2 linked regions of the Drosophila melanogaster genome follow. The protein of the gene in region 1 interacts with the protein of each later gene in a pairwise test. Each region holds a gene or a part of one and is shown in the gene's direction. Other genes may lie near its edges. The genes, in order: CG7465 and CG13840.

What was found.
Region 2: the proteins of CG7465 (region 1) and CG13840 interact in a two-hybrid assay, tested with the Drosophila melanogaster proteins (one large-scale study listed by BioGRID).

Annotation. Positions count from the first base shown.
Region 1 is NT_037436.4:4,478,498-4,482,243, forward strand, and holds CG7465 (uncharacterized protein), read left to right. Parts: upstream 1-1,785; 5' UTR 1,786-1,833; coding exon 1,834-1,836; intron 1,837-1,915; coding exon 1,916-2,878; 3' UTR 2,879-2,990; downstream 2,991-3,746.
Region 2 is NT_033777.3:22,813,780-22,818,239, reverse strand, and holds CG13840 (uncharacterized protein), read left to right. Parts: upstream 1-2,061; 5' UTR 2,062-2,202; coding exon 2,203-3,603; 3' UTR 3,604-3,757; downstream 3,758-4,460.

The DNA of each region.
Region 1 (3,746 bases):
TAGTTGCTATTTGATACCGACCAAAGTGTTTATGGTCGCCGCGTTAATTAGCCAAACTGGTGCTATTAAGGTCCGTCTTCTCAGATTGGTGGCGATTGGTGGCGCGTGACAACCATCCATCACCGGCGCAATCCCCACAACCACCTCCATTCATCTAAAACTTCGGGCAACCCCATCGATCATGGCCTTGACTTTCACGGCTGTACTTTGACCCGAGTTATATAGCGATTTTTCGATGAATCGATTGGCGGTTGATTAGTCATCGTTTATCCTTCACTTTACGGAACCGATTAGTTCTTAGCACCTCTAACGAGCCTTGCTTCATGGCTATTTATTTTAGCTTCGATGTTGCAAATACACCAAATAAAGCATGTACTCCCCCTCTCCGCCAAAGTTAAACCATTAATCATTTGCTGCACTTTGACTCTTAACAAATTGATTAGCTTGACTTGATGGCCTGCCTTCTTTTTTTAAACGCATTAATATCTTCAATTTAATCATTCAATCCTATTTTATCAACTGGCGCATGCGTTTAAAATTAAACTAACTCATAAATAAGCGAAAATAAATACTCCTTATATGCAGGTGGAAACAGATTAACTTGATTTATTCGGACATCCCTTGCATGTCCATGTTTAATTTTGGAAACAATTGGTGAGAGGTTTTTAACCAGAAGTGACACAAAAAATCACTTGCAGATTAAATGTCACATCTGGATGATATTGAAAAATGCTTAAGCTGGGATTAAGTGTGCTGTGTCAACCAAATTGGTCGATTAATAATTATAAGAAAACATGTTTTTAAAAGTAAGCTGTACCTATTACGATTTCAAATCAATGTTTTATTAAAACTTAAATTTTATTTTTAAATAACAATTATATATTTTAGACATATCCATACTGTTGTCTTTTTTAATGTCAATAAATATTATTAGCCATTTCAAACTTAGTAATTGATAAGCGCGCATCCGCACAAAGCGGATTGTTCTTAGAATTCACAATGGGATCTTCTGAAGATCTCGTCATCCTATATCCGGCATTCGGTTTACAAACTTATACAATTCGTACGCATCAGGCATAATTATATCATATTTCCAAAAATTGAATGGCTCGCTTGGTCAGTTCCTATTTGTTGATTAATGAACGGCGAACGACATCGCCACAATGGGAAGAGGCTGCGATCGAAATAATCGACTTTTTGAGTGGCGATTCGGAAAGCTATTGAAGTGAGCGAATTTGATTGAAACATATAACTCATCATTTGAATTTATATCGAGCGCAATTCCAATAGCGGCTTGAATGAAACCAGGCAGGTGGAGCGAACACAAAGAGGTGTAAACAAGACGAGAGCCAAGTTAATACGGATATATGTATATGTTTATATATATTTGTATGTGAGTATCTTTGCGCGCTCGACTTGTCCAAAACGTTGATGTCCATCAAATCTTTTGCATATGATTAAATAAAACAATTAAGAGAATCCGTGCGAACGATTTTGGCCATTAAACATTTTTTTTTTAGCCATCAACTGCTCCGAAGCTATAGCTTGTGCGAATGTAAGCGTCGCAGTCGCCGTCTATCGTGTTGGCCAAGCTGCGTTTGAGCCGCAAAAGAGCGGCTTAGAACCCGTAGCTTAGCCAAACCAAAGCCGAAGTCGTGCGAATTTACAGACGCTTGCGCCGGCAGCGACGTCTTTTTGGGCAGAGGCGCAAAAAACGCCAGCTCTGTAATAGCCAGCGAAGAGCGGAGAATCTGTATAAATACCAAAAGGTTCTGCGTATTCCTCATTAGAGTTTCGGTTTTACTGCTGTGAACAAGCAACTCATCGGACAATATGGTACGATTCGACAATTTAGGAGCCATCGAATCGCCACTGAAGGACTAAACTAAACAAATTTCCCAACTGTCTCTTGCAGAAACTCTTCCTGGTCGCTTTTGCCGTGATCGCAGCCGTGGCTGCCGATGTCAGCCACCTGCCCTCCAACGAGTACCTGCCTCCCGTCCAGGAGCAGCAGATCATCGCCGGACCCAGCAACGAGTACCTGCCTCCCGTGCAGGCCGAGTCTGCCCCCGCCCATGAGCTGGCCGATGATGGCTACCGGTACAAGACCCACAAGCGCGTGGTGGTCCGCCGCCACCGCCGTGACGTCAACGAGCTCTTCAACGAGTACCTGCCCCCCTTCGCAGCTCCTTCCAACGAGTACCTGGCTCCTGCTGAGGGTGCTCCTGAGACCATCTTGGCCGATGATGGATACCGTTACAAGACCCACAAGCGCGTGGTAACCCGCCGTCACCGTCGTGATGTGAGCCACTTGCCCTCCAACGAGTACCTGCCCCCAGTCCAGGCTGCTGCTCCTTCCAACGAGTATCTGCCCCCAGTGTCCGCCCCCGTCCAGGTTGCTGCCCCAGCTCCCGCTCCAGTTCAGATCGCCGCCCCTGTCCAGCTGGCCGCCCCCGCTCCTGTCGTGGTTGAGGCTGAGCCCGCCCATGAGCTGGCCGATGACGGTTACCGTTACAAGACCCATCGTCGCGTTGTTTACCGCCGCCACCGCCGTGACGTCAACGAGCTCTCCAACGAGTACCTGCCCCCCTTCGCAGCTCCTTCCAACGAGTACCTGGCTCCCGCTGAGACTGCTCCTGAGACCGACTTGGCCGTTGATGGATACCGCTACAAGACCCACAAGCGCGTGGTAACCCGCCGTCACCGTCGTGATGTGAACGAGCTCTCCAACGAGTACTTGCCTCCCGTGCAGTCTGCTCCCTCTGCCGAGTACCTTGCCCCCCAGGAAAACACCGTCGAGGCGGCTCCCGCCCATGTCCTGGCTGATGATGGATACGTCTACAAGACCCACAAGCGCGTTGTGTTGCGCCGCCACTAAATCATCCGATAAAGGCTTCACTAGGTGATCGAATTGTGCTCATTTTTGAGTGCAGACCCTACTATTAGAATACCTCTTTTTCATTCAAATACAATAATACGATAACGAATCCATACATTCAGCTCTTTTTAATTTTATTATGTTGGGTGTACGAGCTGGGTGATAAAAGGTTATATGTATAGAATTGACTGAAGGAGGAATATATTCGGATAAAACATAAATCTTTGCGGATAATATATAAACCAGAGAATAATAAAAAACGACAAAGTTTTTAAACATGTATTAACCTATTTAAAAATAATAATTTAATGTAATAATATAAAAAGGTTTTAGGGCTAGAATATATTCATTATTTCACGATCTAATTATACACATAAGAACGTGGGATTAGAGAAGCAATATACACTTGACACATAATCGAAATTGAAATCTATTTATGCCGAAGCTTCCGCAATCTCATCTTCAAAAAGTTCAAGCCTGCTTAACGCTTTTAGACCATTTACCTACAAAAGTAAGGGTATGTTAACTTTCTTGGATGGTGTGTCTTTTTAATATGCCGTTATTAATTTAATAGGTTTTTATGACCTAAACGCTTATGTAATTTATTAAAATGTTATTTTATAGTGGATATATTATTTATATACGATTTGCAATTAAATATAGAAACGTTTTGTTAGCAGAATCTAGTTCGAGGAATAGAATTAATTACCCCGTTTTATTAATGTTTTCCTTCGACTCTTCATAAAAGGTAATTTTTCCAAAAGTGTATTCAGTTCATTTTGTTCAGGTTTTCTTTCAGCCGGTGATATACAATCGCTTTCGACAGTCACATCTATGTATTGTTTCGGCATTGAGGTCGTGATTTATT
Region 2 (4,460 bases), on another chromosome or scaffold:
CCCGAGTCACCCACAACATCGGAGTCCGCCGTATCCGCCGAAGCCTCTGAGTCCCCCATTAAAAAAAAAAAAACCCACCTCCGAGCGGGTCAAGCAAAGGCCAGCGACGTTGCCAACTATGCCATAGCTGGAATTTCTTGGCTATTTGCTGGCTGCCTTGGCTTCTGTTTTTGCTGGCTGCTGGATTTTTGCCTTTCCTTCGACCGTTTTCTCATTTTAACGTTTTAACGTGACTTAATGAAGTTTCAGTGTCACAGCAAAATCTGCTCCTGCTGCTCCTGCTGCTCCTCTCCGCCTGTTAATTTTATGATGGATTTTATGCAGAGCGCGCCAAAGAAAACTTTGAACTTTAATAAGTATGTGTATGCAGGCATTTAACTTTGCCATCGTTTTGTCGATTTTTTCTACTCACTTTTTTTTATTTTCTGTTCTTTTTTTTTTTAGTAGATTTTTTTCTTTACACATTTTGGCCATGTTAAGCTGGGTGGCTAGCTGGCTGGCTTCTTTTCTATGGGAACTTTGCTAAAATATGCTTCACAGGGCTTGAAAGCATTTGAAGTAATGAAAAAGAAGCGAAAAAAATTGCATCCAACAAGTATAACACACACACTCTCGTTCCAGGTGATATGGATGGGGAGGTTTAACTGTACAGTGAAGCTGCGCAAAATTTAACGAAGCTTAACCTCATTCAATGTGAAAATACACTTTACTTGTACTTTGCGCTGTTATTTCAAAAGTGCGGTGACGGTGGGCGTTGCTGCTAACGCCGCTCTAAGGGGGCGTGGCTAAGGTGGGTCTATATATATACAAATATATATATATATATGTATATAGAGAAAGGTGGCGATGCGAACCTGGTGAACTTTGCAAACTTAAATGCAGAGCAGAATGATGAATGATCCAAGGATGCCAGGCTAGCAACGAAAAGAACTCGCTCTATCTCCGTTTTTCGCCGACTTTCCCTTGATTTCCCGCCAGAGGCAACTACTCGCAGAGAAAATCACAAATATAAGATTAAAATCGGAAAATAACACTACAATACTTTAAACGAACTACGAATGGCAGAAAACACAAAAATGGTAACTAAGGTATAATATATCTATGTATCACATATTAAATGTATCTTCAATTCTACAAACCTGAATATAGAAATATTATAATCTTATATCAACTATTTTGCTGAGTGCACTATAAAATCGCTGAGAATGCTATTCCCGCAAAGGTTCTTTAAAATTGAATCACTTTAGACCCAAAGTGCATTGTCAGCTTTGAGTGAGTGAAGGCGTGGCTGGTAAATTATGCAAGAGCAACGATACCAAATGTCGTCGAATGCATCCAGATGAAAATTGAAAGTGCTGCAATCCGAGATCTCAGACGCGTTTCAAATCTCCGGCGATTGCACTTGGCAAAGACCGGACCGCAAGCACATGAAGCGCACGTCACCATTTGTGCAATCAAACATCGGAATGGCCGCGACATTGACCGCAAGCTGCCACACAGTGTGAAATCCGATGCGGCTGGGAGCCAACCGGTGCACAGTGGTTACAGCTATGTTGAAAATTATCAAATATTATGCTAGCTTAAAAAGGAAGCAATATTTATGCACTCAAAACAAAACTTACTTAATTTAATAACTTCATTTTTACCATTTTTATCACATCCACAATAGATTTTCTTTTTTAATTTTTGAGCCCTATTAGACCACAGTGCATAGGTCGATGTGCATTGCGGGCTAGCAATTGCGGTATAGCTGCGTATTTTGTGATTGCGAATTGTGCGGACAGCGGATCGCCGCCTCACTTGCATCTGAAAGGAACAACCAGAAAGGGACTATCTGGAACAGTTGGTGTGTGCCGCCGAGTGAAAGTGAGTGCCTGGGCATGGGCTTCCACTTACACAATCCATGGTGGATTGGCCAATGAACTTGAAGTGCCAACGAGGATATCCAATTACAAGTAGAGCGCTCCAAGCATTTGAAGAGTGTGTGTGTGCTATAAAAACAGCATCGCGATGTCACAAATTTGCATTTCAAAGCGGAGCAACACCCACGCCAGCTGCATCCAAACACGCACTCCGTTGGCGGATTGGAACAAAGGATATAGGACACAGGAGTTCAGGATTTCAGGACACACACAACCACCCAACGTTATGGGGCGGCCAAAATCCGGCCAAGGCTTTGGGTCACCTGCCACCAGTTCATTAATGATCTATGCATTAATGTGGCTCGCTTTGGCCATGACAATGGAGGCCATAGATGCCCCACTGCCCCTATCCCTGGCGGAGTACCCGCTCGGCCTGTCGCTGGAACATGGCAGCAAACACCATTACCAGGATGCGGGTGTGGACTCGTTGCCGGGATTAACAGGATATACGCGAAATTATTATGGCCCCACTGACACTGCAGCCGGCGATGACTTGGCAACATATGGAAATTATGCTCACAAACTCCTGGCCGCCACCCATCAACAGCACCATCGCCATTCGCAATCCTCCCTTGGCACCACGGCCAATGGCTTTGTGCCCTTCTACTACAACAGCAAACTGCACTCGCCATTCACCGCGGATGAGGAGCCGCGTCGCGACCCATCCGCCAATATCGATTTTGTCATTAATACGGCAAATTATGAGCCAAATTCCGCTGGCTACGATGTGGAGCCACATCATGGGGAGCAGCACTACGAAAGCTATGCATATCGGCCGCGGGTGCAGTTTGCCACATCGCTACCCGGTCCCAGCGATTACCATTTCGAACAAATTTCCAATTACCGGGAGAATCGCCAGCGGGAGCAGGAGGTGGAGCAACATCAGCAGCAGCAGCACCAGGAGCAGGAGGATATTACTAGTATCTATGCGCGGCTCAAAGAACTCCAGACACCGGCCAATCCAGTTAAGCGTCAGCAGGAAGAGTCCCTATCGAGTCATCATCCAAACCGGGAGCAAAGCCAGCCACTGGAGCAGCGACATTATCAGCAACCTGAAAGCAGACAGCTGCAACAGCCACACTTGCAACAACATCTGCAACAAAAGCGGCCACATGCGCTGCAATATCCTCAGGATCAACGGCATCACCAGCGCCTGGGAGTTGCCCAGGACCAGCAGATGTTGTACTCTCACAAGGATAGCCAGATTGCAGATCTCCCAGCCATAACCACCAGTGTGCACCATACTCCGGAGAGCAGTAAAGCGGTAGCCGGATTGCCGTTGGCCAAGCACATCGAGATCACTAAGAGTGTGCCCATCACCCACTATCAGAAGCAGCATGTGCCCTTCAAGCAGAACGTCCAGGTGCAAGTGCCACGAACCGTGATCGCAGCCATACCCAAGCCCATGCCCATCAAAATACCAGTGGCCCAAACGGTGGCCGTGCCCCAGATGCAAGAGGTTAAGATTCCCATCGAACGGGTGAAGCCGGTGCCCGTGGAGCGGCCCATTCCCTTTGTGGTTGAGCGCAGGGTACCCTACCGAGTGGAGAAGCCGGTGGTCTCGCCAGTTTATTATCCGTATCCGGTCAAAGTGCCAGTGGTGCGCACGGTGGTGCACAAGCAGCGCCCCCACTACGTGGCACCCGGCTGGAGTGCCAACGGCAATCATCTGCTGGGATGAGTCTATCTTAAGAATAAATTCTTAAGCCAGTTTTATACCCTTGCAAAAGGGGTTTTTTGATTTGTAAAGTAAAAGTACAAACTGTAGGGTAGTCGATAAATATATTTTTGGTGGAATGTTCTTAAGTTGAATTAAATACATTTATTAATTTTTCATGTTATGCAGTTTGATTAACGGCTAGAGTATTTCAAATTCAGCTTATGCCTTAATTTCTAGTGACTGAACCCCAAAAAGTAATTGCAATTAGCAAAACAAGAAGACAAAAAAGGCCACCGACAGCAACTGCAGTGTGGCTGCAAAAGCATCCAGCATGCAACTCCTTGATCCCAAATCCAAGTTTCTAACTCCCAGTTAACAGCTACCAAACAAAACAACACATTCGGAGTCGAAGTTGAAGTTGGAGTCACAGGGCAGGTCCCAAACCGAAATGAAGAAAAGTAGCCGAGTAAAACTTTTTAATTGAGCTAAAATCCAACAAATGCGGCTAATAAATATGTATTGAAGTGCGATGGGCAGAACGAGGCTGAAGTCCGGTTGCAATGCAAAAGGGGGCTGCAGCGAAAGTGCAAGAAAATGCAGCGGCTAATTGCCAAATGTAACTCCAGTTGAAACAACTTTTAACTGAAACAGCAGAAGGAGCAACAATGACGCACAAATAAACGCGACGTTCAACTTCGCCGAGGCGTTAACGAAACAGCAACAAAATTAGCCAAAAAGTAAAGTTCCAGCAAGGGTCGCGAAAAGTCGGGCCAGTAGTTTCTGGTTGGGGAAAGTGCTGCAAGTTATTGCCGGCTAATGAAATTAGCCCTAATTGACGTGGGAGCCATTCGACTCCATTTTTAGGGAGGCGAAGTGAG